2 linked regions of the Tamandua tetradactyla genome follow. The protein of the gene in region 1 purifies or fractionates together with the protein of each later gene. This does not show direct contact. Links are inferred from orthologs where the notes say so. Each region holds a gene or a part of one and is shown on either strand. Other genes may lie near its edges.

Region 1 (15,740 bases):
GCAAATGGAAATGGCTAAAATGCACATGAAGAGCTGCTCATCTTCACTGGCTATAAGGGAAATGCAAATTAAGAAGACAATGAGATATCCTCTCACACCTATAAGAATGGCTGCTATTAAATAAACAGGAAACTACAAATGTTGGAGAAAGAATGTGGAGAAATTGTAATACTTATTCACTGTTGGTAGGAATATAAAATGGTTTAGACGAGGGCAGGCAATGGCCTGCCATGCCAGAGACCCATGTTCGATTCCCAGTGCCTGCCCATGCAAAAAAAAAAATAAAAAAAAAAGGTTTAGCCGCTGTGTGAAAAAAAAAAAGAATTAAGAAAGGTCTTCACATCTATGTGATGATGTTAAGAATTACTGAATGCATATGTAGAATGGTATGATTTCTAAATGTTGGGTTAATTTCTTTTTTTCCATTAATTAATAAAAAAAAATTTTTTTAAATTAAAAAAAAAGAAAGGTCTTCAACGGAAAATAATCTGATATCTGACATGCTCTGTAATATTCAGCTTTTATTGCACAACTTGGGATTTCTGATTCTCAAGTCTGTCAAGACTGTGAGGACAGGATCTGCGTGTGTCTTGCTTGCGTCCATAGCCCCTAGCTCACTGCCTGGTAACAGTAGATCATCAATAAATATTTCCTGAACTTTTTCAAATTAAAAAAACATGGCAGAAAGACATCCTTTAAAAAAATGACTGAAAGTGCTATGCTGGTTTGAAAGGAAGTATGCCCCCTAAGAAAAGCCATGTTTTAATATAAATCCCATTTCATAAAGGTAGAATAATCCCTATTCAATACTGTATATTTGAAACTGTAATGAGATCATCTCCCTGGTTGATGTGATTTAGTCAAGAATGGTTGTTAAACTGGATTAGGGATGACATGTCTCCACCCATTTGAGTGGGTCATGACTGGTTTATTGGAGTCCTATAAAAGGAAATATTTTGGAGAATGAGAGATTCAAAGAGAGTGACACTACGAAGCAGAGAGTCCACCAGCCAGCGACCTCTGGAGATAAAGAAGGAAGACGCCTCCCGGGGAGCTTCACGAAACAGGAAGCCAGGAGAAGAGGCTAGCAGATGACGCTGTGTTCGCCATGTGCCCTTCCAGCTGAGAGAAGCCCTGACTGTGTTCACCATGTGCCTTCTCACTTGAGAGAGAGACCCTGAACTCCATCGGCCTTCTTGAACCAAGGTATCTTTCCCTGGATGCCTTTGATTGGACATTACTATAGACTTGTTTTAACTGGGACATTTTCTCGGCCTTAGAACAGTAAACCAGCAACTCATTAAATTCTGCCTTTTAAAAGCCATTCCGTTTCTGGTATATTGCATTCCAGCAGCTGGCAAACTAGAACAAGTGCTTTGGAAATCAAAAATTCAGACCAACTCATTCAGCAAACCCTGAACAGTGCTTATAAGTGTCTATGACCCTTCATGACCGGGGCCTACCTGAAAACAGTGGCTGCATATTGAACAACTCGGCATCATATACTTCCATCTGACCAGAGGTCTTGTTCAAAACCCCCACAAAATGTCTGAAGAAAGAAAGTACAATATCAGCAACAGTGGATTATTCCAAAGATGATTGTTTAAAAAGAAAAAGAACCAAAAAGATGTTGTTTGTAACAATTTCTCTTTCTCCTGTTAAAAGCCCTCAACCTTCTTTCTTCCCCAGTACATGTGAGAAACACATCTCTTGCCCGTGAGTAGCGATGAATCCCCAATAGCAGCACTTCTTTATGTTGGGAGCGGGGAGTGGAAAAGAAGAGGAGAGGATATGACTAGGTTTTGGAAAAACACCTGGACTCCCTGCTATGACAGGAAATCCTTTTGGGTATTAGAATCTAGAATTACACTAAAATTTTTATTGCACATATAATCTTTTCTTTTTTTTTTTTTTTTTTTTGGCATGGGCAGGCTCTGGGAATCGAACCTGGATCTCTGGCATGGCAGGCGAGAATTCTGCCACTGAGCCACCGCTGCACCGCCCCACACATAAATTTTAAGGTGGCAAATACAAATCCAGTCTGGTTAATCATGGGGAGAAGAGCTTTCTGAATTAGAGAATTTTTGTGAGGCATATAGTGTTAATACTCATAAGCATACATGCCTCAATCTCAATTCTATTAGGGTATGATGGGGCAGGGCCTTGTTTGTGGTTTACTGTTGGGTATATCACAAGACTCTGTCTCAATTACGCCCGCCCTTGAGAGTTATGGACTGTTGAGTCCACACAGTCTTCATTGCACAGAGGGAGAGGCTGGGGGTCAGTGAAGGGCAGGGTTTCCCAGGGTCACTCAGTCAGTCAGTGGAATAGCTAAATGAAAGCCTGGAGCTTCCCTTTCCCAGCCCAGAGCTTTCAACCCTACCAAAGCCTTTTCTAGCAGTTAGTACCAAGGCAAACACGAGGCAAATTTTGGCCTACTGCGCACACATTCCAAATTAGTGGAGAGCACTACCTTTTGAAATATAGGATATAAATAAAGAACCTTACAAGTTAATGAAGTTTAAAGAAAGTCAACAAATAGAAATCATCATTCCGTTTCAGGAATGTCTGCAGGTTGGTATGAGGACCCCTAGATGTGGGGACACAGGGATATGGTAAACCTCCCAAGATTTCTCCCACAGTTCATAGGATAAAGACCAAGAACAAGAGTGCCAGTGCTGTCACCGCCACCCTGCTCCCCACCTCTCCCGTTACCCCTTCTCCCCACGCTACCTGCATAGAGTGTTGCATTTGAGGGCTCCAGTTCCAAAATTGTTTCCCACATAGGAAAGTCTATCTGTTTCAGCTGCCTAAAAGGTAAAGGGGAAAAAAGCTCCATTTATGACCAACGTTGAAAGATATTAAGCAAAGGGTCTCCTTTTTCTACATTTACAAAAGCTTTAGGATAACACTCCCTGACTTTAAAAGATTAACACTCCCTTACTTTAAAACCTATTATAAAGCCACAGTGGTCAAAACAGCATGGTACTGGCACAAAGACAGAAGCATTGACCAGTGGAATCGAATCAAGAGTGCAGAAATAGACCACCAAATCTATGGTCAACTGATTCTTGACAAGGCCCCCAAATCCTCTGAAATGGGACAAAATAGTCTTTTCAATAATTGGGCATGGAAGAACTGGATATCAATAGCCAAAAGAATGAAAGAGGACCCCCATCTTACACCCTACACAAAAAATAACTCAAAGTGGATCAAACACCTAAATATAAGAACTAGCACCATAAGGCTTCTAGAAGAAAATGTAGGTAAACATCTTTAAGACCTAGTAACAGGACGTAGCTTCCTAAGCACAAGCAACAAAAGAAAACATAGATAAATGGAAACGCAAGATCAAATGCTTCTGCAACTCAAAAGACTTTATCAAAAAGGTGAAGAGGAAAAAAAATATATGGATAAGAAATAAACAAATAATAGGGGGAACAAAGGTTAAAACAAATTGGGTAGATGGAAATATTATGGTCAGTGAGAGGGAGGGATAAGGCATGTATGAGTTTTTTCTTTTTTCTTTCTTTTTCTTGGGTAATGCAAATGTTCAAAAAAATGATCATGGTGATGAATCGACAACTATGTGATGATATGTGAGCCACTGATTGTACACCATGTATGGAATGTTTGTATGTTAAGAATGTTTATATGTTTTATATTGTTCTATCAATAAAAATATAGAAAAGTCAAAAAAAAAAAAGGTGAAGAGGCAGCCAACTCAGTGGGAGAAAATATTTAGAAATCACATACGGAAAAGTTTTGATTTCCTGTATATACAAAAAAATCATACAATTCAACAACAAAAGAACAAACAACCCAATTATAAAATGTGCTAAAGATATGAATTGCTTTTTTATTTCTTTGCTTTGTATATATGTTATACTATACAGTAAAAAAGTAAAAAAAAAAAAAAAAAATGGTTTAGAATCCAGAACCTCTAGGATTAGAACTAGAGGGCTTCTGGGAGATAGTCCAGCCCCACTATGTGAATCTGGGTTATTCCCGGGGGCAAAAGGTATGAATAGAATAGACATTTTTCCAAAGAGCAAATACAAATGCCTAAAAAGCACATGAAGAAATGCTCACCTTCATTTTCTATAAGGGAAATGCAAATAAAAAATACGAGATATCATCTCACACCTATTAAACAAACAGGAAACTACAAATGTTGGAGAGGACTAGAGAAACTGGAACACTTATTCAATGCTGGTGAGAAGGTATAATGGTACAGCTGCTATGGACGACAGTTTGGTGGTTCCTTAGAAAACTAAATATCGAGCTGTCCTACAACTAGGCAATATCAACCCTAGGTATATATCCAGAAGAGCTGAAAGCAGTGGCAGACATTTGTACACCAATGTTCATAGCAGCACTATTCATAATTGCCAAAAGATGGAGAGAATCCAAGTGCCTACCACCTAATGAGCAGATAAACAAAACATGGCATATACACATGATGGAATATTATGCATCAAGATGAAGCATGGTCCTGAAGCATATGGATAACACGGATGAACCTAGAGGCTATAATGCTGAGTGAAATAATTCAGCCACAGAAGGATAGATATAGTATGATTTCACTATTACGACTCTGGTAAAGAGAGCAAACTACAAATCACATGGCCCAGGAATTCTGTACTCATTTATAGAAATGAACTAGATATTGCATCTCTGCAGCTAGAGTATGTAAATGACTTCATAAGTAACGACTTCCAAATGCTTCACATTTTTAACACTGAAAATAAAAAAATAAAAAATAAAGACCCATGGGAAAAAAATTCACATGCAGGAAAGCAGTTACAGAAGAATGTGTATATGATACAATATATATAAAAATTTAAAACATAAAAGAATACTATTTTTTATGGATGCAAACATATAGCAATAATTTAAAAACATGAACAAAAGGATATATGACAAAGAAAGAATAAATTATGTGTTGTCTCTGATTCAACCTTGTATAATATGATAAGAAACTAGGTCTAAATCATAATGACATTATCCAGAAATCTTGAGAACTGTAAATCTTTGGCCTTGCTAGAATTTTTTTTTTTTACATCCTTACTTTTCCTGGACTTTTTGCATCATGTTTTCCTATTATTATATTCTCTATCCTTAAGCTCTTTTCTGCCTTAATTCTGAGTATCCCTCATCTTTGTTCTCCAATTCCTCCCTCTATCATTAGTCCTGACTTTCACATTTCTCCAGTTTTCCTTTTAAAGCTGGTTCTCTTCTCCTGTACACTTGCTTCCTAGGCATTCTTATCCATTCCCCCATTTTGACCTATCACATATAATACATTGTTCCCAAATCCAGCTCTCCAGTCAGAACCTCTTTCCTGGTGCAATTTTTTTAATGAATGTATTTAATGGTGGTAAAATATACATAACATAAAAATAATTTAAAAATTAAAACAAAAAAAGTTCTTGGAGGAGTTGCACACAGTTGGTTTAGAAGCCCTGCACTCCCCAGCCCATATACGCATGCAACAAGGTGATTCTGCAAGCAACTTCTTTGGCTGGAAGTCAAATTTCTTTTTTTTTTTTTAATAGTGCAGAAGATCTTTATGTTGCTTTATTAAACAAAGCTAAGATACCGAAAGAAAATTTACTGAGTAAAAATACATCTCCCCTCACCTCCCAGTGTGCTGCCAGGGGCACCTGGCCACCACAGCACATTCTGTGTCCTCTGCCTCCCCCTGCCCTGGATGGGGAGGTTGGAAATTGTGGCATCTCTGAATTTTAGTGACCTCTCTAGCACCACCACTGCTCGTCCCCTGCAGTTCCCTTCCCACCCCACTGGCCTACCAAGGGTCGGCTGCTGTCTTGTGTTCCCAAGTGTGCCCTGTGCATTTAGCTACCTGCCCCCTCTCCCTGGAGCTCAGGACAGCCTCAGTAGGACCACCTGAGCTATCCTCAGGAAGGCAGTTAAAGCTCAAGTGATGTTCAATCCCTTCTTTATCCCTTTTTCTCCTATGACTATTCTATATACTCTCAGGACATTGAAAATGGCTGATTTACTCCCCAGTCACAGCCACTGCATTTCTCCTTGCTATGCTCTTCACTTGAAATACCACACCTCAGCTGTCAAGCCCTCCTCAATCCTTCAGGGCTAACTGTAATATACTCTCCTCCAGGCAGGTATTCTGCCAAGCAGAGAGCTCTCCTCCTCTTCCAAAACTTACCCTGCCCTGTAGCTCTTTCTCTCTAAAGCCCTGAGCTTTGTCCTATATGAGTGTCCTTCACATCCAGGTCTCACCTCTCCCTCTAGAGCAATGGTTCTAGGTGAGGCATTTTTTTTTTAACCTACTGTGCCAGTTTGAAAAGGTTTATGTACCCTAGAAAAGCCATGTTTTAATTCTAATCAACCTTGTGAGAGCAATGGTTTCTTCTAATCCCTATTCAGTAACGTTGGAAACTTGAATTAGCTTATCTCCATGGAGTTGTGACTCAATTAAATGTGCGTATTAAACTCGATTAAGTGGAGACACGTCTTCACCCATTCCAGGTGAGTTTTTAATTGGTTTTACTGGAAGAAGCACTTTGGAAAAAGCTAGAGAACAAGAGAGCAGAGAACACTGCAGAACCACAAAGCAGAGAGTGCACCAGCCAGTGACTTTTGGAGATGAAGAAGGAAAATGCGTCCCAGAGTGCTGGAGAGGAAGCTAGCAGATGACGCTATGTTCACCATATGGCTTTCCAGATGCGAGAGAAATTCTGACTGTGTTCACCATGTACCTTTCCACTTGAGAGAGAAACCCGGAACTTCATCGGTCTTCCTTTTTTTTTTCTTTTTTCACATGGGCAGGCACTGGGAAATAAACCCGGGTCCTCTGGCATGGCAGGCAAGCATCCTTGCCTGCTGAGCCACTGTGGCCCGCCCTCATCGGTCTTCTTGAATCAAGGTATCTTTCCTTGGATGCCTTAGATTGGACATTTCTATTGACTTGCTTTAATTGGGACATTTTCTCAGCCTCAGAACTGTAAACTAACAACTTACTAAATTCTTTTTAAAAGCCATTCCATTTCTGGTATATTGCATTCTGTCAGCTAGCAAACTAGAACACCTACCTTCACCCCAGAGGACATTTGGCTATGTCTAACATTTTCGGCTATCACAATGGAGGTGGAGAGGGGGGTGTTGTTACTGTTACTTAGTGGGTAGAAGTCAAGGATGCTACCACCCAAGCAAGGAAGGACAGTTCTCAACAACAAAGAATTATGTGGCCCACAATGTCAATAGTGCAGAGGTTGTGAAACTCTGCTCTATATTATTAGTTCCCTTCAAGTGGGGCAAGGTCTGATTTAGCACAAGGCTGTAGCGGGTGTTCAAAAAAACCTATTGAACAAACAAATGAATGGTCATCACTTCACCAAAAGTACTAAACCTAGGTTACCAAGCCTGTCCCCACACCCCAAGTAGCTAGGGCTAAGAATTCTTCAAAGGCCCAATTGCTGTTCCTTGTTTTTTCTCCCCTCATTCCCTCCCACAACCACCCACATCCAAGGGGCCTCCTAAAGTCTGCAGAGGACAGGCAATTGGCAAGTGCCATACTCACCAGGATCCGATGATGAGTCTTCCTGGGATTTGTGGAATCTTTGCTCTTGTACAAGGTAAAGCGCAGGCTGCCTGGACTCCGCAGCTTCCCATTAGTGAACTGGACTGTAAGATTGTAGCCCAAGAACGGGGTGAGAACAGAAGGACCCACATGAGAGGAGGAACTGGGATGTCATTTGGGAGTGACTGGAGGAACAGGGATGGCAGGGGAGCCCAGGCCCCGACCTAAAGGGAACTGAAGGAGATCCCAGCACAGTTGGGAAGAGGGGATAAGGAGGTGAAGGGAGCTCTGGGGAGGGTCTGTGACAGGAGAGAATATCTCCCTGGGGAGAGGAAGGTGACAGCAGAAGCCTGGTCCAGACCTAGAGAGATAGAGAAAATCCCCGCCCAGAGCAAAGAGGGAAATGGGGCAGATGAGTGAGGTGTCTGGGTTTTGGATACAGCCCTGGGCAGGGAGCAAATGGATTGACTTCATCCAGCTGGAAGGCCGGGACAGAGGACGGCTGGATGACAGACCCCAGGTAACGATGAAGATTTGAGGGGTCCTGGTCAAGATGGGAGGGGGCCCGTACAGCAGGCAGTAGGACTAGACAGATACCGAAAGCCGGAAGGAGGGGGTCTTGCTCTGGCTCCTCAGTCTTTACCTAGTACAGCTCTCTGGCTTTCGTTGCGATCCCCACAATACATCCACCTCGCACCTGGCAACACCTCCGCCGCCATCAGCCCGTCGGATCACCAAACCTGAAGTTGAGACACCCGGAGCCAACCAACACGTTGGTTCACAAGCAAGAGGTGAGGCGGTGCGGCATCCCGGAAGAGGCGTGGCCTCGCCAGGCACCGTCCCCCGCGCGCGGCGCACGTAGGCTACAGCCCCAGCAGACCCCGCCCACCTCCAGCTCCTCCCCCAAGCGTTGAGACGCTCCGTCCCGCCCACCCTTCGCCCCACCCCTCCGCGCTGAAGGCGGTCTCCCCGCGGTCTCCATCCACGCAGTTCCGCGCTCCCTCCCTGGCCCGCCCTCCGCGAGCTGCAGCTCCTCACTACTCCGGGATTCAGTAGGTTTAGGAGTTTCGTGGGACTCGGGAAGGCGGTTCCTAAAATGCCTACGTTTTGTATGCGGGTTTTTCCTGCTCAGCAACGTCTAGAAAAAATATGATCTCTCTTTCCTCCTTTAACAGATAGTGCTTCCTGAAACCTGAAAATCCAGGTTCAAATTTAGAATTCTCTGACTGTAATTCTTTCAGCCCCAGCTAAACGGGTAGCGATCAAGAGAGCCAACCCCTTCTCTAGGGTCTCCCATCCATGCATGTGGACATCCAGACCTAGCTCAAAACTCCGTCCACAATTCCGCAAACACCACTCATTGTGATCACTCTTCCCGCCTGGGTTGCACACACCTGCAGCCCAATCCACCCTGGGAGGGTGGGAATTCTGGGGTGGTCTCGAAGCACGAAGCCTGCTCTGATGGACATGTCCCTTTGTCCCTTCGGTTTCAAAAGTCACCGCTTCCCATGGGGAGTTACTTGAACAGGAAAAGGGACAAAACGGCCTCTAAAGCTTGGACCTAGGATGGGATCCCTTTTGCCCAGATGAAGGGCAAGAACTCTGTACCCTAAATTGCTTTCTCTCAGGACTTGGTTCAGGATTTACCCTTGGGAAACCTTCCCCAACATCTCTCTCTCACACACACACAGCAATCAGTCTCCTCCAAATAACCCTAGCACCTAAGTTCCCCTTTTCCTGAGCACTTGTCATGCTTTTCTAATTACCCAATATCAAACTTAGAGAAACAATTTTTTTTGGCTTTATAAAGGTACAAATTTAGAGCTGTTTGAAAGATCATCTGGATCTTTCTGTCACATGGGAAGGCACAAGGTGATGCAAGCTTCTCTCTCAGCTTCTTAGTTTCAATGGCTTTCCCCAGGGCAGTTCCTTTCTCCAAACATCTGAGTCTGAGCTGGCTCTGAGCTGAGGTGTGCTGGGCTTGTCTGAGCTCTGCTGGGTTGTACTGAGCTGTTTGTCTAGCTTCTGACTTCTTTTAAGCCTCGGGCTAATTAAGTTAACCGTCACTCATTGCGGAAGGCACTCCTCTTATCCAATAGCAGATGCAGTCAGCCATGGATGAATTTCACATGCTGATGATTTACATCCACAGCAACAGAAGAACAGGGCACCATTATCTGGCCAAGATGACACCTGAACCTAACTACTGGAGTAGTTGATATATATATAGTCTCTCCATTTTGTAAACATTTGAACTTTTCCACAGTAAAACATAAAAATATATAGAAGAGGCATCAACTTTTCCAGCTTCCCAGCACTCTGATTCTGCCACTGCTCATAGGGTCCCAGGCACATTGCTTCTGCAAAAGTTTAAAAGTCACCTTCTCTGGAAACCTTCCAGCACCTCAGCAGACAGAGCTGTGCCCCTAATCGACCTTCACTGCACTTTGTACACACTGCAAAAACACACACCTCACACATATACACACCTACACCCCCAATACACACACACACACACCTCACACACATATATGCACACACACCACACACCCATGCACACACACCCACACACTAAAGGAATTACTTTATTAAATTTAGTCTTTTAAAAAGAGCTACTACTAATTGAGCCTTTAATTTGGATCACACATTATATCTACATTAGCTCAATTACTTCTTCCAGCAGCTCTGAGAAGGCTTCTTTGCCACCATTTATAGATGTGGAAGCTGAATCTAAAGCGATTAAATAACTTGCCCAACCTACTTCTTTCTTTTTTATTTCCTCAATCAAATATATCATTTTTGGGCAGGCCATGGTGGCTCAGCAGGTAAGAATGCTTGTCTGCCATGCCACAGGACCCGGGTTCAATTCCCAGTGCCTGCCCAAGTTAAAAAAAAAAAAAAAAAAAAAAAAAAAATATATATATATATATATATATATATATATATATATATATCATTTTCTCAATGACTATTTTCAGATAAATAGATGTGAATGTGATTATTACAAAACCTGATACGCACGCTCAAATCTAAAAAAGAAAGCATCACCTGTATGGATGAAGGCTCCCAAGAGAAGAGGAGCAGAGGCTCTGGGTCATAGCCTGAATTGAGCTTCCTTGGGAGATTTGCAAGTGCCCCTCTGGGGAAGCCAGTGGCCTAGGCCAGCCAGAGTCTTAGGAAACAGCCAGGTCCCAGCGCTCAGGACACCTGGCGCTCTTAGGGCAGGTCACCCAGCAGGATTATGGTCTGGAAACGGGCTGCTTTGTACTTCCTATTTCTCTGTCTACCTCCAGCTTTCGGGAGAGGGCAAAGCACAACTCTCTTGGGGTGAAAGGAGTGGCAAGCTGACCCTGGCTATAGCAGGGGGAACTTCATTAGTATATGATTGAAGTAGGCCAGATACAGATAAGAATCTGGGTCAGACTTATCCAAAATTTTGTCCTCAAGATAAGTTTGGTGACATCAGATTCCTTGCCGCTGACCATCCTCACTGGTCTGTCTCTTGAGTCATACCACTACACTTTGGACTAGTTGCCCTCCATGTCACATGAACCTCCTCTTTTTGGCCTCTCTCCTGAGTCAGACCCCTTACTCCTGCATTTCAGATACTCCAGTTTCTTGTTTCGTGCTGTATTTGGGTACAGCATGTCTTCAGGAGCTTTTGGGATGCATGGGAGATAGTGTCTCTTTGAGAACTTGAGTCTTTGAAAATTTCTTTATTTTAGTTTGGCTGGGTATGAAATTCTACGTTGGAAATCATTTCCTCTCAGAACTTTCAAGGTGTCACCCCAAATAATTTATTTTTGCTCTGAATTCTTTTTTGCCCCTAACCTGACACTCTACCACCCCTGAAGACTGCAGTATTCCTTACAGATAAGGCATTTCCAGAATAACTACAATACAGCCATCAAAATCAGGAAATTATTGTCATATAATCCTCATACCTCACTTAAATTCACCAATTGTCTCAATATTTTTTATAAGAAAAGGATACTGTCCAGAATCACATGTTGCATTTGGTTGTCAAGGCTCTTTAGTCTCCTTTAATCTGGAGCAGTTCCTCAGTCTTACTTTGACTTGTAACGAGATATTAGGATTTAGGGGATGATTATGATTACTGAAACCTTATATAGATATTCCTTCTTAACCTTCTGGTATATTAGAGTAGACAGAGGAAAATATCTGAAATCTCTAAACTGTAATCCAGCTGCCTTGATTGCTAATAATAATTGTATAGCCTTTATCATATGCCCTTATGATTAAAACCTTGTGACTGACCCTCAATTGTACCCATTTATCTGATTTTTCAACTTTAGAGTCTTATGATCATTATAGACAGCCCCTCATGTTTATTAGTGAAGGGCCTGGAATCAGTGCAGAACTAACCATTAACTTGGTTCTAGCACAGTTCCATTTCTTTACATTTCTAAATTGTTTCTGCCTATACTTGCTGTTGAGATGGTAACGACTCCATCTCCCTTTATTTGAATCCATAAATTTGAGGACAATGCAACAGTGGCTCAATGGCAGAATTCTTTCTTGCCATGCCAGAGACCTGGGTTTAATTGCTGAAACCTGCCCATGCCAAAGACAAAAACAAAAACAAATCCTTGAATGCCTTAGATTCAGGGAGACAGATTATTTTTAGGCCCATAGACATCTGATCACCTGCTTTCTGCCTAGCAATAAACTCTTTTTCTCTTTAAACCTCCCATGTCATGGACTGGCTGTTATACACTTTGGGCAGAGAGCTCATCATTTTTGTATCAGAATTTCATAATTTTGACAATTCATTTTACAGGCCAGTTATTTTGTAGAATGTTACTAAATCTGAGTTTATTTAATGTTTCCAAATCAGCTTCAGGTTATGCATCTTTGACAGGAATATCACAGGTATAATGCTGTGTTCTGCTCACTGTATACTCTCAGGTGGCACACAATTTCAATTTGTCCCATTTCAATTTGTTACTCATAATATTAACTCTGCTCACTTAAGATGGTGTCAACCAGTCTCCTCTACTGTAAAGTTATTTCATTTTCCATTTGCAATTTAAAAGTATTTTGTGGGGAGATACTTAGAAAGTACGTAAAGATCCATTCATCATATTTTCAATTGAATCATTTATTTATACCAGTTTGGACTTATGGGTTCTTATTTTATTCAAAAAATTAGAATTTGCTATTATCATTATGTTCCAGCCCAGCACAACCCTGAGACCAAAGAACACACCGGACAAAAAATTAGACATGGGTTTTAATTACGGATTTACAGACAGGAGAATAATTTTTCCCAATGGTAGACGGTTGGGAAATGGAAGTTTGCACTCTGTCCAAAACCAAGAGGTGGGGAGAGGTGTGCCAAGATAGTGGCTTATAGAGCTTAACAAAACTTGGGAAATTCGGTTACAATGGAGTTTCAGGAGACTTTCATGAGATTCAATTCAGCAGAGTCTCACAAGAGTTGGTTACCAGCAGTGATTTGGGGATAAGTGTTTTGCATTCTTGACCTTTAATATCTTTCCCCTTCATGTAGGCAGTTTCATGCAGTGATTTGCTCTTAAAATGGAGGAGGGCGCAGGGCCAGGGCCCTAGTTCTTTACACACTATTTACTTTTATATTCAAAATTTCCCAGATTGGGCCAGTGGGAACCCCATCAAGGTGACTTCTGTGTCCTTTTGACATATTCTCATCTTATTTCTTTTTAATTTGTGTGCCGGCTTGAAAAGATTATATGCCCTAGGAAAGCCATGGTTTAATCCTGATCCAATCTCGTGGGAGCAACCACTTCTTTTAATCCCACCCAGCACCATAGGATGGAACTTGATTAGATTATCTTCTCAGAGATGTGGCTCCACCCATTCCAGGTGGGTCTTGATTAGTTTACTGAAAATCCTTTAAAAGAGGAAACATTCTGGAGAGAGACAGGGCCGTGGGAGCCCATGCAGCCAGAGACCTTTGGAGATGATGAAGGAAAACGCCCCTGGGGGAGCTTCATGAAACAAGAAACGTGGAGAGAAAGCTAGCAGATGTTGCCATGTTTACCATGTGCCTTTCCAGTTGAGAGGGAAGCCCTGAATGTCATCAGCCTTCTAGAACCAAGGTATTTTCCCCAGATGCTTTAGACTGGATATTTTTATAGCCTTGCTTTAATTTGGACATTTTCATGGGCTTAGAATTGTAAACTAGTAACTTAATAAATTCCCCTTTTAAAAAGTCATTCCATTTCTGGTATATTGCATCCCAGCAGCTAGCAAATCAGAACAACATGTTCTTACTTTTTGACACAACGAGATGTTCCAACTCATCTTGTGCTTTCCCTGCCCTAACCCCAGAATCAGTCATTTCTCCATGGAGCCCAGGCTTCTTTTGGTGAGGAATGGAACGTAGAAACCAACATCTATCTGTATGTTAGGTGCAGACTGTTTTTGGGATGTCACAGCTCCCAGGCCTGCTCAATGGAACAAATTAGGGAAATTTTCTCTAGTGGCCCTACTCTAGGTCACTGCATATATAACTGGGATGGGGGAAGGCAGTAACCAAAATGCTTTACTCCATATAAAAAGGGGATCATTAGGGATGAAAGATCCATAATACGTATATATCAATTATTTTTTCCAAATTGCATATTTTGGTAGAATACATTTTTTTCTAGAAACTAATGGCCAGCAAGAGGAAAATTAAGATATATTCAAATTTTTGACAGATATTATCAATTTATCTCCAAAGGGAGTGTAAATGACATTCCCACTAACAATAGTTCAGGCTGCTCACTTTCACACACTCTCCTAAGTACTGAATATACAAATCTTTTTATCTTAACTTTTGCCAATCTGTACATTGGATATTATCTAAGCGCCACCTAGGAAAAGACTTCTCACGTTGTCAACATTCCGTAGTCTCCTTATTCCACCGCCCAGTCTCGTGGCAAAATATGTGTAAGGACTGTAAGATGTCAGGGAATCGTTAAGAACAGAATTTACAAACTTATAAACCCAAAGGACAACATTTTAAACCTGTTACCTCTAAAGGGGTGAAATCGGCTGAGCGGACCGTGGGGTGTTAAGTTGTGAAGAAGCGTTTCCATGTTTTAAAGAACCCAACCACCTCTTAGACTACCTCTGTCTCTGGAGCTACGCCCAGAGCTCCCGCACAGCTCCGGCAGGACCAGTCCTCTTCCCGGCTTTCTTTTCTTTCTCCTTCGACCTCTGCGCCCCATGCTCTCGGAGGACCGCGGCCTTACGGTCTCCCTCAGGACTCGGGTGTCCGTCCGGGAACCGCCCCAGCTGCTTGCCCTTTTCTGACAGCGTCCCAGAGAGGGCCGGGACCCCTTCGTGTTTTCGGTTTCTTTGGGGAGAGCTCAGCACGCCCAATTTTGTCTGCATTGGGGTGGGTCATTGTAAATTTTTGTTCTGGAGACTATAGATATATTTGGTCTGCGGCATAGAATGTCGAGCAAAGTATTGCCAAAATCGGGAACCCCGACCAGCCCGCCAGATTCCTCAGACTCCAGCGTTTCGAGTCGCCGCCACTGTGAAGGGAATTGGACCGGGTCTGACCCGACTGCCATCAGTTGTAAAGCATTTTTAGTTCAGCGGTTTTAGCCTGGATCTTCGCTGAATTAAACCGCAGTATTTTGGAATTTTATTTTAATTTTTCGAGAGCCCACGAGATGGGACACCGGACACCACGGACTCCTGAAATCGGATAAGCGAACGAGTTCCACACGCAGTCCCGAGTCATTTAAGGGCCAGGCGCCGCGAGGCTGGGGAATTCCTTCAGGACCACCCAATAGCGCCGCGCGTAACCCAATCGTCCCGCCTCGGGGCTAGCGCAGAACCCAGGCTGTCGTGATTGTGATTGGCAGAACTGGGCGGAAAATCCGAGTCTCTTAACTACAACAGGCTTTGATTGGCTGCGGTGCATAGTTACTTTTCTATAGTCTAAACAGCTGCTTAGGGATAAATCCCGCCTTAAAAGGCGTTTGATAACAGTTTTACGTGTTGTAAGTCAAATGGTGATTGGTCACAGCGCTCATGGATTCGGGCTGTAGTAAACACAGCGAAGCTCCTGCGACCGTGGATTGGTCAATTTACCGGCGGAGTAAATTCCTCCGAGTCCCGCGAGTTGGCTGGCTGCGCTGCCGGCTCGGCCCCCCCTTCTCCGTTGCTGATTGGT
Region 2 (15,688 bases), on another chromosome or scaffold:
CGGGCGCAGGAGCAGCTCCGCAGGCTGGAGGGCGACGCGCGGGGCCGCCTGGAGCAAACCCAAAGGTGCCTGGGGGGCACGCCCGGGGCTCAACTCTGGGCCTCCTCCAGCTCTTCCCCTGCCCATCCCAGTCCCGCCCTGGGAATCCTTTGCGCGGGGTGGGCGCTGGGCCGCCGGGGAATCCTGGAGCTTCCCGCGTCCGGGTCACCGCTCCCCCTGGCAGGGACGTGGTCGCGGTCTCGGGGAACATGCAGAAGGAGAAGCGCAGCCTCCTGCGGCAACTGGAGCTCCTCAGGTGTGCGGAGATCCCTCCTTACCGCCCCACCTCAGCGGCAGCCGCCCCCAGGTGGCTGCCTCCTCCAACCGCTCACCTCACACTCACCCTTCCCCAGGGAGCTGAACACCCGGCTGCGGGACGACAGGGACGCCTATGAGGCCGCGGCGCTGGGCGGAGCTCGCAGGAAGGCTCGGGCCGTGGCGCACCTGCCCGGGTCCACCTGCTGCTGCTGCAGCTGGGCGCGCGCCCCCAGGCGCGGCTCCGCGCACCTTCCCAGCGCCCGCTGACCCGCCGAGGGACGCACCGGGAGTGACCTGGAGAGGCTGCCCCTTGGGGGTGGAATCGTGGTGTGGTGGGGCCCACATAGCGGGCGCTCCGGGCGGTCAGGCTTCGTCCTGCCCCCCGCCCCGGCGACCCCATCTGTGACCAGCAGACAAACTCTCTTGGGCCGAATAAAGCCCAGTGACGCACCGCGACTTCCTCAGCCTTCTGTGCGCCTGGAGCCCCACAGCATGTGTGACTCTGTGCCACGCGTGTGACACTTAAGTGACACGCACCCCACTGGGTCCGCGTGCTGCAGGCCCGCACGTCCTTAGAGCTGGAGCTCCAGCATCCCGGGTCCCGCCGCGGTCCCGCCCGTCCCCGGCAGGGGGCGCTGCAGCCGGGGCTTGCTCAGCCCACAGGAGGCCGGCCAGGCCCAGGGCCACCTCTGCGTCCAGGGCAGGTGCGGGCCAGGCCGGCTGTGCGGAGCCAGGTCCGGGAGCGGGCGCCCGTCTTGCCTGGCCGCCGTAGGTCAGCCTCCTCGTCCGCTGGCACGAGGCGCTGTGCTTTCTCCTCCGCCCCTGACTCCCCTCCAGGCCGTCCTCCACGCGGCAGGAACCACGCCGCGCCCCCCGGCCTGGTCGCGCGTCCTGCGCCCGCGGCGCTTTGGCGCAGGTGGCTCCCGGGGTGGGCGGGCGCGGGCTGGGGCTGGAGGACGCCGCGGCGCAGCCTTGGCTGGCCAGACGGCCCCTTCCGCCCGGGCTCTGCCTCCCGGCCCAGTGCCTCGTTCTCGGGGGAGGGGAGGCGCCCCAGCTGGGCTGCGGACTTCCCCGGGGATCCCAGCTCGACCCCCGAGCGCCTAACACCCTGGATCCCCGGCGCGCTCTCTAGTTCGGGCCTGCCCAGAGTCTCGGCACGAGGGGTGGGGCCGGGGGCGGGGCGGGGCGGCGGGGGGCGGGGCGGGACGGCGGGGGGCGGGGCGGGACGGCGGGGGGCGGGGCGGGACGGCGGGCGGCTCCCACTGGTCAGCCCCGGGCCGCGCATTCTCTGCGCTGGGAGCCGCCGCCCCCGCAGCCGCCGCCTGGGCCCGGACTGCGAAGAGTGGCGGGTGAGTGCGCAACCGGGCGGGGCTGGCCAGGTGGGGGGCCCGGCTGGCGGGAGCGGGGCTGCCCCGAGGACCCTGCGCGGCCGGGCGCGGGAGACCCGGCTGTCCGCACGGTGGGGGTGGGAGGCCGCGCCCGCCGGATCCGTCGCAGCCCATCTCAGGGCGGGAGGGAGACAGGGGCCGCGGGGCGAGGGCGCCTCTCGGCTGCCTGGTCAGGTCTGGCGCCCCCACTTCGGGTCAGGGGCCACGGAGTGCGAGTCCACGCACCCGGCGCAGTGTCCCGCGTCCTCCCTCCTGTGTGGCCGCAGGCCCGCCCGCTGCCCCGTGCACGTGAAGCGGCGGCGGTGACCTCATCGCGGTGGCCGAGCGGGGTGGGGACTCCGGCCGCGGCCTGGTGGCGGACTCCGGGTCCCCTGGTGGGGCCGGCCTTGGGGTGGGGCAGCAGGCCCAAGCCACCCAGGCTGTCTCTGGCAGGCCCAGGCCCCCAGGCTGTCCGTCCCCAGGGGCTGCGCCTTGGCCCGGAAGTCCCGGGGAGAGGGGCTGCTGGTCGGTGGGTCCTCGAGGTCAGGTGTGTGGTGGTGGCCTTCAGGGCAGCGTGGGTGGGCCCCAGCCCCCAGCCCCCAGCCCCCAGCCCCCAGCCCAGTGCTTGTGTTGCATCCCTGGGGCTGCTGGAATAGTGTCTCCAATGCATGGCTTAAAACAATGTGCGGCGGGCGGCCCTTCCTGCTGCCTTCACCTTGACGGACCTGCGCCACGGTCCTCTCACGCCCCCTGCCACCCCCCCTCACCTGTGGTGTGCGGCCGAGGACCCACCCTGCTCTAGCGTGACCTCATCTTAACTAACTCCTTCCACAAGGCCCAATTTCCAAATAAGGTCACGAGCTGAGGTGCTGGTCGGGGACACAACTGAACCCAAAACAGCAGTAGAGGTGTGGGTACCTGTCAGTGCTGGAGCCGCATTCCCTCCGGGGCTGCAGCTGCTGTGCTCTGGGTGGGGGGAGGGCAGGTCAGGGGCCGAGGCCTGGGGGGGGCACGCGGAGGAGGCCTGAGGCCCTCCCAGGATCAGACAGTCCAGCAATGTCTCCTGCCCCACCCTGCCCGCCGCGCCCAGACCAAAACACTGGCCCGGGCCATCCCTCTGCCTCCCGTGGGTCCTGGCCAGGCAGGGGCGGAGCCCGGCAGGGAGGGCCATCAGCGCCCCCTGGGACTGGCCACTGCAACCGGTGACTGTCCTGCCCCGCCAGGCGCGCCTTCAGGACTTCCGTCCACCGTCCACCTACGTCTGCGGAGCCGCCTCCGCGCCTGGTGAGCGCCCGCCGGGCGGGGCAGGAGCGCCGGGGCGGGCCTGTCTGGAAAGGGCGCCCCAGGCCACAGCGCTCAGCTCCCGCCCCTTGCCACTGCTAGATCGGGCAGCTGGCCTGGGGCAGTCCCCCAACCCGCACAGCCCCTACCCCGCCAGGTACATTCCTGGTCAGGAGAGGTCTGGGGTGAGGGGGGAAGGCACATCACACCCCAGCCCTGTTCTGAGGGGGCTCCACCAGCCCAGTGGGAGGGGTGAGGGAGGGAGGGAGCGCTGCCGCCCCCCCATAGACCCAGAGAGCCTCCCCAGGCCGCCCGGTGAGCAAAGGGCAGGTCCATTCCACCCACTCCCTCAAACCTCCCGGCCTGTGACGTGGGGCCTGGGGAATGCTGGGAGGACCTGCCTGAGCTCCTGTGTGGGGCACCGAGTGGGCGAGTCAGCTGGTGGGGGAGTCTTCTATGCACCCCTCCCTGGGCATGGCCGTGGCCTCGGGCTTGGCCCTGGTGGCTCCAGGCCACCCCCCCACACACAGGAAGTGACTCGGCAGAAGGGACTCCAGTCCTGGTGGCCACGGAGACTCCCTCCCAGGCTTTCCCCTGGCAGCAGGGCCCCAGCTCAGGGTCCCCTCCTCCCGTCTGACCACTGCCTGCCCCACCCCCCAGCCCCAGGATGGGCGAGTTCAGCGAGAAGGAGACGTGCGGCACCGTGTGCCTCAAATATCTGCTCTTCACCTACAACTGCTGCTTCTGGGTGAGGCCCAGCCCCAGCCCCAGCCCCAGCCCCTGCCCCTGCCCCGGGGGTTTGGGCCCCCACCAACCCCCTGCCCCTGCCCCAGCCCCTGCCTGGGGGCTCAGGCCCCCACCAGACCCCCTCCCCTGCCTCCACCGGCCCTGGGGGCTCAGGCCCCCACCAGCCCAGGCGCCCCATGTCCCTTCCCTAGCTGGCTGGCCTGGCCGTCATGGCCGTGGGCATCTGGACCCTGGCTCTGAAGAGCGACTACATCAGCCTGCTGGCCTCGGGCACCTACCTGGCCACAGCCTACATCCTGGTGGTGGCGGGCATTGTCGTCATGGGGACTGGCGTCCTGGGCTGCTGTGCCACCTTCAAGGAGCGGCGGAACCTGCTGCGGCTGGTGAGCGGGGCAGGGGGAGGCACGTGCTCAGGCCTCTGCACGGCCGTGTCCCCGCTGGGCCAGTGGGCATGGCGGTCCCCCACGGGTTGCCTGGGCACTGGTGTCATCGCAGAGTGCGGGTGTCTGTGCCCTGGCCCAGCCTTGTCTGTCCCCCCCAGTACTTCATCCTGCTCCTCCTCATCTTCCTGCTGGAGATCATTGCTGGGGTCCTGGCCTATGTCTACTACCAGCAGGTGAGGGCCGCGCGGGCCGTGGAGGTGGGGGCGGGGCGTGCACAGGCCACAGAGGTGGAAACAGGTGTGCACAGGCTATGGGGGAGTGACGGGGTGTGCACAGGCCACGGAGGTGGGGACGGGTGTGCACAGGCCATGGGGGAGCGAGGGGCGTGCACAGGCCATGGGGAACAGTGCAAGGCATGCGCAGGTCCCGCTCATCTCCATTTGACCCTACCCCAGAGCTGAGCTCTGTGCCTTCCACTCCTGGAGGTAGGGGGCTGGGGAGCAAAGCCACCTACCTTGGGTACACAGGGGAGGCTGAAGCCCCATGCCCCACCTCCCTCAGCCAGGTCCCGGGGCTCAGTCCCTCTCAGCTTCCGGCTGACCCGGCCCCTCTGGCTTCTGAGGCCCTCCTGGGCCCCCACCCGACCCCCAACTCTGCTACCATCTGTCCCCTGCCCCCAATTCTGCCCCATCTTGGGGGTGTTAAACTTTGAGGCTAAAGCTCACCTCCTGACTCCCCCTCCCCAGCTGAACAGAGAGCTCAAGGAGAACCTGAAGGACACCATGACGAAGCGGTACCACCAGCCAGGCCACGAGGGCGTGACCAGTGCCGTGGACAAGCTGCAGCAGGAGGTGGGTGTGCACGTAGCCCCGTGGGAGATTGTGGACCTGTGCCTGACAATGGGCAGAAACACGTGTGCTCTTGTGCATGTAAGCAAGTGTACATGCTTGGCGCAGGTGAGCGTGGGTGTGTGCTCGTGTGCAGGTGCATTCTCGGCACAGGTGAGCGTGTGTACACGCCGTGTCCTGGGCTCAGCCATCTGTTCTGTTCTAGTTTCACTGCTGCGGCAGCAACAACTCGCAGGACTGGCGGGATAGCAAGTGGATCCGCTCGGGCCAGGCGGGTGACCGCGTGGTCCCCGACAGCTGCTGCAAGACCATAGTGGCCGGCTGCGGGCAACGGGACCACGCCTCCAACATCTACAAGGTGGAGGTAGGTTGGCGCCTGTGCGGGGGTGTGGGACGCCCGGAGCCTCGGCCACACTCAGCCACCCCCTCCCCAGGGCGGCTGCATCTCCAAGCTGGAGACCTTCATCCAGGAGCACCTGCGAGTCATTGGGGCCGTGGGGGTCGGCATCGCCTGTGTGCAGGTGCGGAGGTGGCGGGGGTGCGGGGGGTGGGGTGGGGGTGGGGGTCTGGCGCTCACCCCGTCTGGCCCTCAGGTCTTCGGCATGATCTTCACTTGCTGCCTGTACAAGAGCCTGAAGCTGGAGCACTACTGAGGCCGCCCGGCCCGGCCCTCTGCCTCTGGAGCTACTGAGCTGACACTACTGACAGACATGCCCTGCCCCTGCCCTGGGCCCAGGGGGAGCAGTGCCTGTCACCTGGTCCCCACACTGCCAGATGGCCTGGCCTTGTGACCTGGCACCTGCCTCTCCTCCCCAGAGACAGTTCCACGTGCCTTTCGCTGTACTCCAAAGTCTTGGGGCAAGGAAAGGCCTCCAGCGCCCCTGCAGCAGGGGGGATGGTCCTGACAACAGAGCACCCCCCCACACACAGGCCACCTCTGGGGTAGGGTGCTCCCCGATGCCCACGCTTAGTCCTAGCGTCTGCCCTGGGGTGCTCTGAGGCCCTGGAGAGGGAGCGGTGCCGGGCAGGCACAGGGCCCAGGTTGCTGGTCCCCACAGGGTGGCCATGGCCTGCCCCACACTGTGCTCCACCCACTGTCTTGGCCATGCCGACTGCTCACACCCTGCCTGCTCAGTGGAGTCCCCTGCCTTAGTTTCCCCACTGCACAGTCAACACTGTCTGAAACACTGTGTCCCTGTGTCTCCCTCTTGAGGATGTTCCCTGGATGGGCAGGGATCTGCCCGTTTTATCCACTGCTCTGTCCCACATGCCCAGAGCTGCTCTGCCACGAAGTGGGCGCTCAATAAATGTTTGTGGATCCGGCAGATGAGATTGAATGAACTTGCTTTGCTCCCGGCAGCATCACCAGCACCCTCACTCCTGTGCTGTGATAGGGAGGCAGAGTGCATGTCCCCAAGGCCAAGCAAGGAGCTGATGCCTAAGCTGAGAGCTCAGGGGCTCAAGGGGGAAGGAGCTCGGGCCCCAGGGAAGCCAGGAGTGGGGGTGGGTTGGGAGGGGGTTACAGGTTTCAGTGCTGGGGCCTGTATGTGGCTCCCAGAGCTGCCTCTGGTTGCTGTGGGGAGGCCCAGGCAGGAGCTGCTGGGTGGGGGAAACCGCCAGGCCCCACTGCTTGGCTTTGGGTCAGGGAGGGGAAGAGGCCAAGGCAAGTGTCTGGGGCATCACCCTGGAGTTGGGAAGCTGGGGGAGTGGGTGCTGGGCCTCGAGGGCCAGGCAGGTCTCGGCCAGCATCCCCCCTCCACCTGGGGGATGCAGTCCCGCCCCCAAAAAACTCAGACTGACCCAGGGCAGGCCCTGACCCTCCCCCCAGCCGGCTTACTCATCAGCACCCAGAGGCCTCAGGACAAAGCAGCAGAGATGCCCTGAGACTGACTTGGCCTCCCTGCCCCTACCCTACGGCACATCCTGGCCCTGGGGGACACCGGGCACACACTCTGGGCTGAGCTACACAAATCCAGTCCCAGGCCTCAGGACATCCTGCACAGAGACCTTTACTGACATCTTCCAGAGCTCGGAGTCCACCAGGCTGCACTAGGGCCTGGCTCCCGCACCACCCCCAGCTGTCATATGCGGTCACTTCTCCAAGGGAGCATAGTTGAGCAGCTTCTCGATCAGGTCCACGTGGGCCAGCAGCATGCGGCGGCAGCAGTAGCGCTTCAGGCCCAGTGCATCCAGGGCGTCCCTGCGGGTAGGGGCAGGTGGTATGAGCAGGCTGTGGTCATGCGCATTGCACAGTCCACACGCCCCAGCGACCACCCTGGACCACCTCTCCCGCCTACTCCACTCCTCAGCCCCCGGGGCTGCCCCCTCTGCACCCTCCAACCACCAGTCTGCTGCTCCCACACAAGCCCCATTTCTGCCTCTGCTTTGGGCTCGTTCACCCAGGGCTGGGGTGGTTCTCGGGACTTCCAGAGTATCGGGGGGAGCTTAGAGGCACAAGGCTTATGCCTTCTCTGGCTGTGGTGTGGTCTTCATGGCTCATTCTCCGGGACTCTGCTGCCTTGCTAGAGCCCACACACCCCTCTCCCCTTGGGGCTGGCTCCTTAGCAGTTTTCCCTCCATACACAGGAACGCACATCACTGCAGCCAGCAGACCCCAGCAGACCCACATGGTCCCTGGCTGACAAAGGTGCCACACACAGATCACAGATCACACAGCTACCAAGGGGACTTTCCTGAGCTCTGCTCCCCCAAAATCAGGAAAAGAAACACCTCTCGAGAGAGTGACACCTCCTAATCCCTATGCCAATCAGTAGTCAGGACTTCCCTGGGACCTGTGTTCTAGCCATCAAGGTCTCCAAAGAGCCCACACAGCATCGGCTCCAATGCACAGATGGCAGCTTGGGAAAGTGGGAGGCAAGACCAGGAGTCCCCTTGCTCAGAGCATCCCAGGGACACAGCAGCCTGCACAGACCTCTTCAGGCCTGGCTTGAGTGCCCCGCCATCCATTCACTTTCCTCATTCATCCGGCACACTCCCCCCAGCAACTCCCTTGTATGCTGGGCACACATGTGGGCCCGAGGGCTCAAATGGGATCGTGACACACGGCTGGCAAGGGGGCAGACTCTCAGACATGCTCCCAGGAGCTGACTGCAGAGCTAAGGGGCAGGCACAGAAAAGGGGCCAGCCTCCTGCCTGAGGGGTGGGCGCTGCGTGGTCAGGCAGCTTGTCCGCCTCTTAAAAGGATGAGCGGGGCTTGCAGGACTTGGTGGGGCGGAGAGTTGGCCATTCCAGGCGGAGGAGGGGTGGCCGGGTGGTGGTGGGGTGTCAGGGAGAGGCAGTGAGGAGCAGGTGGCAGGGAAGAGGCTGAGGGATTTCCTGGGGATGAGAAGGCCACGGTGACCCGCGGCGAGGATACCTAGAGGCATCTTGCCCAGCTCCACAGCCCCCCCCAAACCAGGAGCTAGTCTGGAGGACCCCGGACGAGGAGGACCCGGGACGAGGAGGGCCCCGGACGAAGAGGACCCGGACGAGGAGGGCCCCGGACGAGAAGGCCCCGGACGAGGAGGACCCGGATCTGCGAGCCCCCACGAGAGACCCCGCCCCCCGCGCCCTCCCGCGGGCCCGAGCCTCACCCTTCGGTGTACTCGGCCTGCAGCAGGCCCAGGTAGGCCTCCCACTTGTTGCCGACGATCTTGCCGCAGGTGAAGCAGCGCACGGGGATGATCATGGCGGCGGCAGGCAGCGGACCGGTCCTGCAGGCTGTCTGACAATCGGCTGCGCTCGACGGCTCAGGAGGCGCTTCCGCCCGCGGCGCGCAGGCCCCGCCTCGGGCGCGCCCACTGGCGCAGGGGGGGACGTCCCCGCGCCCTGCCGCCACCCGCCGCTGCCACCACCCGTCTCCACCCCCGCCACCGACCGCCCTTGCGGCAATTACTCTACGTCTGGCAAGTCTTCTCTGCGCGGGGCGGGGGCTCCCGGGGCCCGCGTGGCCGCGACGGGAATAGCCGGCACCCCCCGCGGCCGCTTTGGTACGTTCAGGTCTACGGCGTCCGAGCTGGGCCGCAAGGGTTGCGGCGGCGCTCGCGTTTCGCGTGTGGCGGGAGTGACAGCCGTGCGGCGGGAGCGGACGGGCGCGCAGGTACCGCCCCCCACCGCCCGGGAGGCGCCCCCGGACTCCGCCGCCCCCCGCCGCCCCGAGCCGAGCCGGGGCCGGTACCACAGCCGGGCACACTGGAGGGCGCGAGTTCGAGTCCCGAGGGCAGCCGAGCCGCAGCCACACGGGGCCGGGGGCAGGGCCGGGCGGTGGTCTTCCCGCCTCCCCTCCGGGCCCGGCCCTCGCCCGCGGCCATCCAGCCCGGGCTCTGAGTTTGGGGCGTCGGGCCCCGACGGCGGAGGTGCCCCCAGCGCCGCAGCGCCCCGCCGCGGCGGCGAGTGCTCCGGTCCCGGGGAAGGGACCCCCGGCCAGGCTATGCTGGGCAGCCCCGACGTGGGCCAGCTGACCCCAGCCCGGCGGGCCGAAGCGTCGTGGCCAGGGGAACGGGCAGCCTGGGGGCTGGAGGGGAAGGGGTGGCCCGGGCAGGCCGAGCCTCTGGCGGCGGAGGCAGGCGGGGCAGTGTGCGGGGGAGGCAGGGAAGGCTGCCTGGAAGAGGGGACGCTGGGCTGGCTGCGACGGGCCGGCGGTGGGGGGTGTGTGTGTAAAAGAAGACCCACGACTTGGAGCTGCCTGACTTGGAGCTGCCTGGGACGGGGTCTGCGTTGGGTCCCTGCCTCCCCCCGGTCTCACCCCAGGTGTCAGCTGGACCCTGACTCAGTTGGATGTGGGAGGGGATGGAAGGGTCTCCTGGGCTTGGGTAGGGCTGGGCCGGCTGTTGTTGCCTGGAATTTGTGCCTCCACCTCCCCAGTGGCCCTCTCCATCCCCCTCTAGGCCACGTGCAGAGCCACGAGCTAAGGCCACTTCCCTTCCCAGCCGCCTCCACCCAGGAGGACTGGACGCACATCCTGTCTCCCCTGGAGGGGCCAGAGAGGACCCTTGAGTCACGGCAGCCTGAGGTCAGAACCGGGCTCAGCGGCAGGGGAGGCTGCAGAGCAAGGAGGTGAGGGAGGCTGGAGCGAGAGTCAGGGACCCGGGTGGACCCCGGGGGTGGGTAGGTGGGGCACAAGGGTTGGAGGGCTTCCTGGAGGAGGAGCCCCGCGCCTTCTCCGCCCCTGCTATCGCCCCTGCGCAGTTGTTTATGTGGAGGAGAGTGAGGCGAGAAGAGGGAGGGAGAGGAGGGAGTGGCCCGACTGGCCTCCGCCAAGTTGACATTCCTGGAATTCTGGAATCTGTGTGTGTTGGGGGTGGGGTATGGTGGGGTGGGCTTCCCTTCCCTGATTTCCTTGGAGAGGCCTTGGGACCCGCCCAGTGTCCCCAACCGCTTCTGCTTGGAGCGGTCCCGCAGCTCATGCTTCTCCCACTCCAACTCTGTGGTGGCTCTGGCCGGTCGCCAGCCCTGACCCGACAGTCCTTCCTCCCTCTTTGCTACCCGCTCGGTCCTGGGGGTGTGTGTCCCCATGGGCGTTGCAGAATCCTGCCCTGCTCCCTCCGGTGTGCAGTGGGAGCCAGGGCCAGGCCGGGAGAGAGCTGTGGGAGCTCAGACACTGGCTGGTGGGGGGGCTGTGCCTGCTAGTAGGGTAGACGGGGTTCTCGGGCAGGTGTGGGGTGGCAGTGCAGAGGCGGCCCTCTGGGGAGGCTCGAGGCTGGGGTCTGCAGGGCCGGGTGCTGGATTTCCGAGGTGGGTCATTGGACTCTCCGGTGGTGGCTGGGGCACAAGGGGGCCTGTGGTCACTTGTGGTTTGGAGCCTGCTGACCACGTTTCCTGCCAGAGGCGGGTCATGTCAGGGCAGGCGACAAGGGAAAATTGGGGAAGTGGACAGCTGCTGAGCCCCTCCCACCCTGCAGCGTTGCCCTGGAAACAGCCACTGGGGGGTGGGGGGGCGGCGAGGAGGAGGCCCTGGCCCATGGCCTCAGTTTCCCCATGTGTACAGCTCCATGGGGCTGGAACCTGCCCACTGTGAATGTCCCTCCGGCCCCTGCGAGCCTGGGAGTGGGCCGCCAGGGACTGCATCTTCTCTGGACCCCCAGCTGTGCCCCCGTGCGTGTCCCCTGGTGCTGCCCGCTAGCCTTTGCCCCCCTCTGCCCAGGTCCCCATGCTTGCTCTGGACAGACGTGTTCTCGCGTGGGGCGGGTACGGCATGGTGAGGGTGTGCCCACGTAATACGCATTCAGGAACACACATGCTCTCTTGCACGCGCGCTTCCCCAGGGCTGGGGGTGACTGCTAGCCTCCCATTAGCCCCTGCAGAGCTGGTGGCACACGTGGTCAATGGTCTGGCACACCCACCCGGTGTGGGTGGCCCGGGGCTGGGCAGCGGCGGGGAGCTGCGGGCAGCGGGGCATGCTAGGCTGATGGCCTGTGGAAGTGCCCCTGCCGCTGGCCCTGCAGCCTGACCCCGAGACCGCCACGGCCGCTCGGAGGGGCCTGGGGCTGGGGCGGATGGGCACACGTCCCCACGTGGGTGCCAGAGGCGGGGCTGCCCGGGCTTCCTGCAGGTGGGCGGGTGGAGGGGCGAGGGGAGACGCAAGGGGGTGTCTCTGGCCCGGTCTGGCCCCCTAGCTCATTGTGGGGGAGAGGCCAGCCTGCAGGGCCTGGGGCCTGGTGGCGCCCCTCCCCCAGGGGGGCGGGAGCGGACACATCGGGCCTGTTTGTCTTGGCGCTCGCCCGGGCCACCTCTTCACAGACGCCTCAGAGCCGCTCAGCCTGGGGGGCCGGGCCGGGGTGGGGCCTGCTGCCCGCTGGGAGCTGCTGGGGCCCAGGCCGGAGGCTGCCCCACGTGCTGTCTTGGAGGGACCTCGGCCTGGCCAGGTAGGTGCCGGGGCCTGCCCTGGGCTCGCCGAGCTGCACCTGCCTTGGTCTAGGGTCCTCACCAGCAGCCTGGGGCTGCGGGGGTCATGGGTCCTTGCTCGGGGCTTCCTGGCAGAGGGACCTGAGCAAGTTCAAGCCGAGACCTTGAGTCAACTGCCAGCTTGGAATCGGGAGGTCTCCTAGACACACCTGGATTTCTCCTTTTTCTTGAAAACCCCTAGTTTGGGCGATGGGGGCCACTGTGAGCGGGTTGCGTGGCAGCTGCCCTCTGAGGACCAGGCCCAAACCCTCCTGCAGGCATCTATGACCTCCACCCTTTGCCCTCAATGCCCAGTTCTTACCTTCGGTTTTCAAGGGAACTCATCGCAAGGCCAGGGGAAAGGCTGACGAGGTTAGGATTATGACAAGGGGAGAAAAGTAAAATCAGGGCAGAGAACCCAGAGGCTTCCCTGAGCCCTGGAGCCACCACCAATGGCCACCAGCTTCTCTGAATCCCTTCTCTGCACCCCCTCTCTCCACCGTTGTCTGCACAAGGGTACCCTTCGCTCTCTCTTTTTTTTACATGGGCAGGCACCGGGAATCGAACCCGGGTCTCTGGCATGGCAGGTGAGAACTTTGCCACTGAGCCACCATCACACTGCCCCTGTACCCTTCTCTGCATCCCTTCTTCTCACCCTTCTCTATACCTTCTCTGTACCCCTTCTCTGCATCTCTTCTCTGCACCCCTTCTCTGTACCCTGCTGCCCACCAGGAGAGGGGAGGGCACATGCCAGCCTCTCCCGGTCCTGAGCTGGCCTAGTCAGCTTCTTGCGGCCTAGACCCCCCCAGATCTCCCTGTTGGCCTTTGCCTTGGGGTGTGTTCTAGTTTGTTAGCTGCCAGAATACAACACACCAGAGACAGATTGGTTTTTAATAAAAGGGGATTTATTTCATTAGTTCTTCAGAGAAAAGGCAGCTAATTCTCAACGGAGGTTCTTTCTCACGTGGGAAGGCACAGGGTGATCTCGCTGGCCTTCTCTCCAGGCCTCTGGGTTCCAGCAACTTTCCCCGGGGTGATTCCTTTCTGCATCTCCAAAGGCCTGGACTGAGCTGCGAGTGCTGAGGTGAGGTATGCTGAGCTGCTTGGGCTGTGCTACATTGAGTCCCTCATGTAAGCATCAGCCAATTAAATCAAACATCATTCATGGCAGCAGGCACACCTCCTAGCCAACTGCAGATGTAATCAACAACAGATGAGGTTCATGTACCATTGGCTCATGTCCACAGCAACAGAACTATGTACCTTCACCTGGTCAAGTTGACAACTGACTCTAACTACCACATGTCCACCCCTTGTCAACTTGGCAACTACTTGCATCACCTTAAACAATATTAAGGTGCAAAATATTCTCTTCTGACTGTGGACCTGTGAATCTCAAAACAAGTTGTCTGGTGCCAATATGCAAAGGAGGATATTCACAGGATACAGGTTTTCATTTCCATGGGGAGAAACTAGAAGGGAAAAGACCATTGGATTTCAAAGTCTGAAAGTCATTTATCCTTCAGCTTTAGAAAGTGGCAGACCGACCCTTTCCAAGGGCCTGTGCAGTGGCCGGCCTCTTTCTGAATCAACCTCTGGGGACATTGAGGAGACCACCTCTGGGCTCCACTCTCTCCAGGCATCAAGGCCACACCTGGCTCTCTGCCATTTCCGGGGCACACGCTCAACCCCTCCATGTGGTGGCAGCCAGGCTCTCCCCAGTCCCCAAGGAGCGTGTTGTACCTTCTCCAAGGCCTGAAGCTGCACAACTCTTCCACTGCAACAAGGTGGGAGGCTCATCCTCGCCCTTCAGGGTAAACTCACCCTCTCCATGTATATGGGTGGGTCCACTCTCCTCGAGGTTTCTTGGCTTCAGACCCAAGCTTCCATGGTCCTCACTTTGCAAACTCCCCAATTTGTCCCTTTTGTGTCCCCTTTGTCCAGACTGGCAGTGGTTCCATTTACGCCAACAGTCTCTTCAAGCACTCCAGGACTTCTCCATCCTTCTCTTCTCAGTTCCTCTAAAATCTTCCCCTTAGCCATCCAAAAAACTGTTCCAACATATCTGATGTTTGCAAACTGCAGCAACACCCCACTCCTGGTACCAAATCTGTTCTAGTTTGCTAGCTGCCGGAATGCAACACACCAGAGATGGATTGGCTTTTAATAAAAGGGGATTTATTTCATTAGTTCTTCAGAGGAAAGGCAGCTAACTCTCAACTGAGGTTCTTTCTTACATGGGAAGGCACAGGGTGATCTCTGCTGGCCTTCTCTCCAGGCCTCTGGGTTCCAACAACTTTCCCCAGGGTGATTCCTTTCTGCATCTCCAAAGGCCCGGGCTGAGCTGCAAGTGCTGAGCTGTGGTATGCTGAGCTGCTTGGGCTGTGCTGTGTTGAATCTCTCATTTAAGCACCAGCCAGTTAAATCAAACATCATTCATTGCAGCAGGCACCCCTCCTAGCCGACTACAGATGTAATCAGGAACAGATGAGGTTCACATACCATTGGCTCATGGCCACAGCAACAGAACTAGGTGCCTTCACCTGGCCAAGTTGACACCTGCCTGAACCTAACTACCACAGGGGGCCTCCTCACTTTGCACGGGGGTCTCACTCGGCTCCTCACACACCTCGGTGGGCTCAGGGGTGGGCACCTCCGACCCTGCAGGAAGTGCAGGAAGCCTGCCTTGGGGTGTGGGTAGGGGATGGGACCCTAACCCACAATTAATAGAAGAAAGGGGTGGTAAACAACTGGCGACTAATGTCAAGTAACTTTACCTTAGGGGCACCCTGTGGAAGTAAATAAATGTGCTGGGAGCGAGGGGTCATTGGCCGGAGGGCAGGTGTTCTTGCTGCGTGTTACCTGGCCTTCCTTTCATCTGCCTGAGTTGTGTCTGTGTAACTATGTGTTGATAGCTGGATATTTTGTGTTAAATGGTAGATATTTTTTGCTTTCAATCTATATACAATTAGAGTTTTCATCCCCAAAATAACTGACTATGGAATAAACAGTTCAAAAGAGTAAAAAAAGTAACAGGAGGGGGTGGAGGGCTTCCTGGAGGAGGAGGAGGAGGCCAGGAGAGTGAAGGCCAGGACTGGCTGCCATCTCCGACTGCCCTGGACAGGGTGGGGCCAGGGCCCGGGATTCCTTGGGGGGTGGGGGTCCCAGGGCTGGAAGGGCACCTGGAGGCCATTCAAGTGACCAGGGGCTGACTTGGGGCCGGTGGCAGGGAGGGTCAGCTGGCCTGGCTCTCTGTTGAGTCCATGTCCCATGCGGGAGCACTGGGGTGTGAGGAGCAGGGCTGGGGGTCTGTGAGGGGTGCTGGTGGGGCTGCCCTTAAGGCTCCAGGTTGGGGGGTATGGGGTCCTGGCACTCTTTCTCTCTGCCCCTTCCTTGGGGGTGTAGGGGCTGCCTGGGGGTGCCCGTCCCTGTGTGGGTGTGCCTGTTGCTGGCAGCTTGGGGTTGGTGCTAGGCCTGGACAGCCGGAGTGGCCCCCACGCCCCGCCTGCCTGCTGCCCCTGACCCTCGGCGGTGCACCACTTCCAGGCCCTGGAGGCTCACGGAGGGCGGGGATCCCCATGTGGGATCAGGACAGCTGGGTGGCTGGGCATGTGCAGACCCTGTGGGCTCCTGGGAAGTCACCACCCCCCCGGCCCAGGGCTGGGAGTGGTAGGCACCGCCTTGGGCCCCAGGGAGCTCGGCCCCTCTCCCCACCCTGCACTCCCAGTGGTGGGAGGGAGACAGGCCAGCCCCAGGGTCAGCTGATGTGGCCTGGGCCTTGGGGAGAGGTGGGAGCATTGCAGGCTGCCTTGGGGTCCCCTGCCCAGCTGGGGGGCTGGATCCTAGGGGGTGAGTGCTGTCAGTGCCTCCTGAGTCTGCATGA

The links.
Region 2: the proteins of POLR1E (region 1) and POLR2L purify together in Homo sapiens (affinity purification with mass spectrometry; 3 studies listed by BioGRID and IntAct, with this or other methods). This does not show direct contact. The link is inferred for Tamandua tetradactyla from reciprocal best matches to the Homo sapiens genes POLR1E and POLR2L.

The regions. Positions count from the first base shown.
Region 1 is NC_135328.1:57,715,185-57,730,924, forward strand, and holds the start of POLR1E (DNA-directed RNA polymerase I subunit RPA49), read right to left. Parts: upstream 8,409-15,740; 5' UTR 8,284-8,408; coding exon 8,208-8,283; intron 7,669-8,207; coding exon 7,565-7,668; intron 2,811-7,564; coding exon 2,734-2,810; intron 1,550-2,733; coding exon 1,464-1,549; intron 1-1,463. UniProt on the Homo sapiens protein: Component of RNA polymerase I (Pol I), a DNA-dependent RNA polymerase which synthesizes ribosomal RNA precursors using the four ribonucleoside triphosphates as substrates.
Region 2 is NC_135335.1:665,640-681,327, forward strand, and holds POLR2L (DNA-directed RNA polymerases I, II, and III subunit RPABC5), read right to left. Parts: upstream 8,699-15,688; 5' UTR 8,612-8,698; coding exon 8,517-8,611; intron 7,124-8,516; coding exon 7,015-7,123; 3' UTR 6,917-7,014; downstream 1-6,916. Other genes in the region: CRACR2B (EF-hand calcium-binding domain-containing protein 4A), read left to right, coding at 1-65, 224-295, 393-564; CD151 antigen, read left to right, coding at 3,613-3,693, 3,884-4,075, 4,234-4,308, 4,822-4,926, 5,129-5,287, 5,358-5,444, 5,517-5,576. UniProt on the Homo sapiens protein: DNA-dependent RNA polymerase catalyzes the transcription of DNA into RNA using the four ribonucleoside triphosphates as substrates.